Caenorhabditis elegans: one gene and its partner. The protein of the gene in region 2 interacts with the protein of the main gene of each other region in a pairwise test. Each region holds a gene or a part of one and is shown on either strand. Other genes may lie near its edges.

Region 1 (3,754 bases), 940 kb from region 2:
CTTGTTTAAACTTACGATAAAAGTTATTTTAATTTATTATTGTTTTAATTTTAACCTTGTCTATTCATTCCGTTAGATAACGGTTCATTATTTTATACTTTCTGCTTTGTATTTGTATTTTATAAAATTTATTGAAATTAAAAAAAAAACTGTAATATAGTATACTCGTAAAATTTTTACATTAAAAATCATCGGTTAATTTTTCGCAATTTCATAAAATTCTAATATTCTAATTGAATTTTCTAACCGATTAGAAAATAATGATTGAAGTTAACCGAATTGGCGAATCGCTGAGATCTGTGGAATATGCTGATCATCAAAATCGATTAATTTTCCGCCGTCATTCGTCGTAAAATTATTATTAGAACTTGTCGGGGAGTAGGCATTCAGTTTTTCACTTCTTGTAGTTATTGGAGTTTCAATCGAGACAGCTACTCTTTCTGACGGGAGTTGGACAATTGAGCGCGTCGGCTGAAAATCTAGATGAGAAAATTTTGGAAGCTTTTAAATTAAAAAAATAAGTTTTTACTAAAAATACTAAAAATTGTAATCTTTTCTGAATCGTAGAAACTAAATTTATCTCAAAAATCGAGAATTCTACAAGAAAACATACATTTTTCGGGAATAAATACCATACGAATAGTCCAACCACTACTCCGAAAACATGTAGAGATATTGAGATAATTGTGTGCGTTGTGTAGGATAATGTGACGAACATGAAATCTGAAAATTAGCAATTTTTCACATTTTGTATCAGTTTCTCAACTATAAAACAAAAACATAAAAGTCAAAAGCGATGGAAAGACTGTGAGCGAGAGATGAAGCCGACGGAATGAAGCGTAAAAGCTGTGGCGCACCACGGCTGCGCGGAAAGATTTTTCTCGTTTTTCTGATGTTGCTGACGGGCGACAGCCAGCAGCTTCTCCTTCCATTATCCTACAAGTGTCCAATTCATCCCGCAGAATGGCTTTTGTACCTATCTCCCGTCCGTTCTGGCTTATCGTACCGGGGACATTTATTGCGAAATGTAGAGGATTGTGTATGTGGTTTAGGAGTGGAACATTGAAGTAGCTAGCGGGAATTGTGGGATTATTTTAATTTTTATGAGATTCTCAATAGTTTAACTATTTAATTTCATCAAAAAATATCCTATTTATGGAATTTAATTTATGTCGAAAAAATATAGAAAATCACTAGATTTATCTGAAAATAACATTTTTTTCAGCCGAAACTTTTGAGAAAATGCAGAAAATTACCTTAAACTAAATGTTATTTTCAGATAAATCTAGTGACTTAAAAAAAATTATTTTTGACACAAATAGGAAATTAAAAATGTTAGAAAAACATGGTGCATTATGTCATTTTGTAGAATTGCAGAAACTATTATGATATTTTGACATCGAATGGAAAAATGGCAGCTAATCTAGCGAGCGATGAGACCGGTTCTCTATAGATTTTCAAGTGACCTTTCGGAACGAAGAAGTTCCAATCAAGCTACATACTAGATTCCTAGATTCTATAGACTTAGAATAATTAAATCAAAAACCTATCATGGATGAGAATAAGAAATAATGAAATCCTGCCTTGAATTAATATGCAAATGAGATGACTATACAGTCAGAGAATTATTCCTTCTTTGTTACGCGCGTTTCATCCGAATCTTTTTCCTGACTATGAGAAAGTCTCTTCGTTGACCGTAGTCTCTAGAGGTCTTGTGACCCCGATTCGGTCGCTTAAACAAAACACAAAAATACAGTAGTGGATTGAAAGTTCGCGGCTTTTCAAAAAGTGTTTTTGATCTTTATGTATCATAAATCGTGAAAAAAACGACTAAAAACGACTGCCGCAGAAAAAAAAGTTCGAAATTACCGTACTCTTAAAAAGCGAATATATTTTTGTAAGTCTGTGGAGGGTACTGTATTTTTAGCGCAAAATTTTGCGAGTGTACAACTGAATTATCATTTCGATATTAGAAAATCATGTATTTCCACAACATCATAATTTCAGGATGAAGCTTCTCAAAAAACCCGCGGGACTCAAAAAAAGAAAAGTTATTTCAAAACGAATCAAGATTGAAAAGAAGCCAAGTTCTGAGGACGAGGGAAGTTCAGATGAGGAGGTACCAAAATTGGATGGAGAAGGAAGTTTAGATGGATCTGAAGATGAAGATGATGGAACTGTGACTGTTGAGAAAGGAGGTGTGAAGAAGCATAAGTTGGATTTGGAAAAGTGAGAAATTGTCTTCGAGCTGGTAATAAAAATATATATTTTTAGACTGAAACAATCCGATCCCGAGTTTTTCAAGTTCCTTCAACAGGAAGATGCCGATCTATTGAATATGGAAGATGATGGGGATGACGATGAAGATGACGATGAGGATGATGAAGATGAAGAGGAAGAGGAAAGTGATGATGATGAGGATGATGAGGAGGATGACGACAAGACAAAGATTAAGAAGATCCGAAAACCAAAGATTAAAAGTGACAATTCTGGACGTCTTATCGTGGATTCAAATGTTTACTCTTACCTTCAACAAGTTCTCGTTTTGGATGATGAGGTAATTTATATTATCGAGACGGAAAACTTTACTTACTTTGATACTTTGATGTCCGTTGGGTTCAAGTTGCGAGGCAACTGCGGACAAACTCGAAAAAATATATTTGTTTAGTTGAGAAAACAATTAAAAACGCATACATTTTTTTAAAAACGTAAATTTTGAAGTAAATGATTTTTTAAAAAATTTTAAAAACCTGATACTAAATGATTAGCAGACCCAAGCTGTGACTAAATATTGGTTTTTAGAAATTTTTCATCGATTTTTCGTATTTTAGTTGAAAATATATTCATTTATTCAACAAAAAAAAAACAATTAAAATCACATAATTAATAAGAAATCAGTAAAAAATACTATAAAAAATCAATGAAAATTACAGTAACTAGAGTTTGAAACTACAGTACTCTTTAAATGCGCACACGAGTTTGCATTTAACTAAAATTATGTCGTGTCGAGACCGGGTACCGTATACTTTTAGCATAAAACGAAATATTTCGCGTTTGGGAAATATGGTTGTACCAGAAAAAAACGTTATCGAAAAAAAAAGGTTTTTCGCCAAAAATCACGAAAGAAGCAAAAAAGGAAATTTTGAAGTTTGGAATGTTTTTTTTTTGAAAAAAGTGTGAAAATTAAAAATTTTGTGTTTTCAGTGAGCGACAGGCGGTTTTTTCTTTCGAAAAGTGAGAAAAAAACGTTTTTTTAAGCCAAAAACGTTGAAAAAGGCAAAAACGAAGCAAAATAGTCTAAGATTAAATATATTAAAAAAAAAAAATTCATTTAAAATAGGGCTGAATCCGAAAAAAAAATTTCTCGAAGTCGACGGAAGCGAAAAAAACGGAAATTTTGATGTTGCGACTGTTTTTTTTTGAATAATATCAAGTGCAACTTTTTTTTAAAGTGTAAAATATTTTTTGGCAAAAAAATTTTTTTTAAAAAGTGATAATGAAGCAAAATAGTCTATGGCCATCGTGCGAGAATCCTATTCGAATTCCAACAAAATGAAATATTATAGACCTCCACACCCACCAATCCATCGGATGTTCGTATGGCTGTCGATGTTTTTGTCGCTTGTGTTGCTCGAGTTGGTGCAGACATTGAAGCTCCAAAATATGTCATTAATGAGCAATCAATCTTCGAAGCTGTTGTTCGAATGTGCTTTCAAGCAATGCCTGATATTCTAAAAAGATTATTGAAAGCGAA
Region 2 (3,754 bases):
TTACTCTCTGGCTTCACAGTAAATTTTACTCTCTGGCTTCACAGTATATTTTACTCTCTGGCTTCACAGAATAATTTACTCTCTGGCTTCACAGTATATTTTACTCATGGCTTCACAGAATAATTTACTCTCTGGCTTCACAGTATTTTACTCTCTGGCTTCACAGTATATTTTACTCTCTGGCTTCACAGAATAATTTACTCTCTGGCTTCACAGTATATTTTACTCTCTGGCTTCACAGAATAATTTACTCTCTGGCTTCACAGTATATTTTACTCTCTGGCTTCACAGAATAATTTACTCTCTGGCTTCATAGTATATTTTACTCTCTGGCTTCACAGTATATTTTACTCTCTGGCTTCACAGTACATTTTACTCTCTGGCTTCACAGAATAATTTACTCTCTGGCTTCACAGTATATTTTACTCTCTGGCTTCACAGTATATTTTACTCTCTGGCTTCACAGTATATTTTACTGTCATGTACATTTTCAGCCGTATCTTTAAGTGTGTATTATCAAATGAAAATGACAATTTATTGGCAAAATAGGTAGATTTTCAAAACTTTAAAAATTCATAAATCACTTCAAAGTAACTTTTTTCGAACAAATTTATTCCGAATATCTTCCTCAAGTTAAGATCCCAGACGTTTTGGAGTCATTTTCAGGGGCTTCGGAGACGGAATGTATGGGATACGAACTTCTGGGGCAGGCTCCGATGGCAAGGTGGCTGGAACTGGAGTTGGAGCTGGTGCAACGGCTGATTTGATAATACATGGAGGATTCGTGCACGGTTTCTTGTAGAAATCTTGTTTGTCTTCATAATTTCCAAAACATCAGAAGGAAGAAGCTGCAAAGAAGAAAATGAAAACATGTTTCTATATTTAAGTGAAGTGATAAAAGAAAATGGGTTTAAACTGACCACATCAAACTGCTTGTTGGCTTTTCCTTGGGGTGGTTTTGGAGGTGGAAGCATCACTGAATTTCCAGCTTTCTTCACTCCAACAGCAGTACTCTGTGCACCATCGGGAGGCAGTGGAGCAGGGCCGAGTGGATCAGTATTTGTGGATCTTTCCAATGTAAGACGTACCGTTTTTGTGTTGTTGACACTCGCATAGAGAAGCTGAAAGAGCGATAATAGTAGCCATTTGTGTTTCGGAAGATATCATACTTTTCTAGCAGAGTCACGATCAAGAACATAAATGTCATTAACTTTGACAAGAATATCTCCACCTTTGACATAGTGACACGCATTGGAAGCCGACTGAACCATTGAAATAGTTACAGTTTTTGGATCAACTGCCATCTGGAAACCATCTTTAAAAGTTTCAAGTGTCCCGATTACTGACTCTATGAATAATAATCCCTGTTGCAGCACCTCCACGATAAGTGAAAGTCAACTCAACCATCTGAGTATTTGGACGACGAGGTGGCAATGGTTTTTCAGTGACAAGGCAATGATCATCTCGCATGAACTCAATTGTCACTTTTCCAGGAAGTTTTGCACTGATTGCACGGATAAAGTCAGCAGTTGTCTTTATGTTCTGAACATTTGGATTAGTTGAAACGGAAGCGGAAACGGATCTTAAAATATTCCTTACGGTTTCTCCATTGACGTTCAAAATCTCATCACCAGCAAATAGAACACCCATCAATTGGCTACTCACGTCCACATATATGATCTCAAATGTGATTATTCAAGATCTCTTCGATTTTTGAATTGAAAATGAGTTTTTTAATAGCCCAAACTTCGTATTTATGAAAAATTAAGGAATTTTCGAATGTTAAACACATCAGGAATGCCGACAAAATTGTGCTCGTTTCAGCTCTTAGCGCGAGCCCTACGTTGAATACATTATTCAAAAAGAAATGTATTTCCATCTCAATAAATTATTTCAGAAACATTTCCCAACAAACAAAAACGAAATGAGCCCTCATTTACCTTCCCATTGACCACATCACATGCTACAACCACATTCTTCCGTTCGAATTGTACTTCTTCTTTTCCTTTTACATGAAAACTATTGTTGTTGGTTGTCATCTGTAAGAAGTTCATGTCAATGCAGTCCGCTTCTCTAGTAACTGGTAGAGTCACTATGCCCTCATTGTCAGACCCAACGCGCAATCTGAATGTTAACTTACTCCGAATGGATTGTTGCGGATACGAAAGAGCTATCGATAAGAAAATATTTAGAACTGAGTCAGTTTTTGTTTTCACTTTTTATTTTTCTGTAATTTTTTTCTGAATAAAACAAGTACAAACGATGTCACGTTGTTATATTAATTAAATTGATAAATTATTTATTATCAAAATATTATCAAATTTCGATGAGATCAATGGAATAGAACAATTCAATCATCGTTGTCTTCTGCTTTTGTCACTTTCTTTTGACCTCCTCTTACAAACTTTGAAAGTCTTGAACGAATTGTATTCAGATCTTTGCTGTATGTTGGGGCGCTGAAACCAATAAAAATTCGTTTATTTTCTCTTTATTTGAGCATTTCACCTATGAGCTGTACCTTCGGACTTTGTGCCACTATCAGATTCTTCAGTTTCAAATTGTAGGTGGGATATCAAGAAGACGTTGGAAACTTGATGGCATTGTTGGCATTTTGCTCTTTTATGCAGATCTTTTTGAAAATTGGAGATAAAAATCTGAAAATACGTTTTTCCATAACAAACACGACTTTTACACCGACACTGTTCTTCGTTGGTGCAGAAAAATTACAATATCGATTTGGAATTCTCATAAAAGAGCAGGTGGCAATCTACCACCTTTCTATATTGTCACATCACCTCCACACTCTCCGAGCAAGATGGGAAACTCCGCCCACAAACGCTGAAAGTTGATTACAACGACGTAGAATCTGTCTCATTCAGTCAGTCTTTTATTATCTCGATCTCTCCCTTTTGAATTATGTCTGTGAACATTGTTTTCTCCAATCCTTCCAAAACATACCTGCCTGGCGACTATGTCTCTGGAAAAGTGTTGCTCACAACAAAAGATCCAATTTCTGCACGATATATGGAAATCACGTGGAAAGGAGAATCAAAGTGTAATTTTGGAGGATCGGAGAGCTCAAATGTCCAACGCCATCTTGCCGGAACATTTATGGGATGGATTGCCAAAGATGGAGTTGTGAGTTTTTAATACTTAATAAATATATTTTCAAAATATTCCCATTCAGGACACAATCCCCGCTGGAACTCTCAAATCACGTTTCCGATTCCGACTTCCAGAAAATTCTCCGCCAAGTTTTTGCGGAATGTTTGGAGAAATTGAGTATTCTGTTACTGTGGAATTTGATCGTCCGTGGAGACTCAAGTTAAAAATGATGAATACATTCCGTGTGGTTCAGAAGACAAATCTGACACTTTCTGAGCCAAAAATGATGAAGTACGCGGAATTTGTCAAGTCGAAGAATTCTGGAACGATTTTCAAAGATGGATTGTTTTTGTTGAAGGTATTGTTCAATTTCAAAAGTAGAGTCAAAAAATTCACTCATTATATTTTAGCTTCACTTTTCCAAACGAGCATTCCTCGCAGGGGAGACAATCCGAGCACTTGCCATCATGGAGAATCATTCAACAAAACCAATCATTAATCTTCGTTTCGAGCTCATTCAACAATCCCATTACCACTCTCGCCCACAGAAATCATTGTGTTCTCTTAACGATTGTCACTCCGACTGCCCAATTGAATCCAAATATCGAAGAGATGGTGAAACAGTGCTCCGCGGAGCCAATTACAGTTG

The links. Proteins that work in one complex are often made in the same cells at the same time.
Region 1: the proteins of mpz-6 (region 2) and pro-2 interact in a two-hybrid assay, tested with the Caenorhabditis elegans proteins (one large-scale study listed by BioGRID).

The regions. Positions count from the first base shown.
Region 1 is NC_003280.10:10,343,366-10,347,119, reverse strand, and holds the start of pro-2 (Nucleolar complex protein 2 homolog), read left to right. Parts: upstream 1-2,007; 5' UTR 2,008-2,008; coding exon 2,009-2,229; intron 2,230-2,274; coding exon 2,275-2,557; intron 2,558-3,566; coding exon 3,567-3,754. Other genes in the region: C07E3.10 (uncharacterized protein), read right to left, coding at 271-471, 614-718. UniProt on the Caenorhabditis elegans protein: Required for normal somatic gonad development and for regulation of germline development and proliferation.
Region 2 is NC_003280.10:9,404,938-9,408,691, forward strand, and holds mpz-6 (PDZ domain-containing protein), read right to left. Parts: upstream 2,184-3,754; 5' UTR 2,141-2,183; intron 2,040-2,140; coding exon 1,941-2,039; intron 1,681-1,940; coding exon 1,600-1,680; intron 1,543-1,599; coding exon 1,348-1,542; intron 1,305-1,347; coding exon 1,170-1,304; intron 1,122-1,169; coding exon 921-1,121; intron 849-920; coding exon 663-848; 3' UTR 597-662; downstream 1-596. Other genes in the region: arrd-2 (Arrestin C-terminal-like domain-containing protein), read left to right, coding at 2,917-3,138, 3,188-3,463, 3,516-3,754.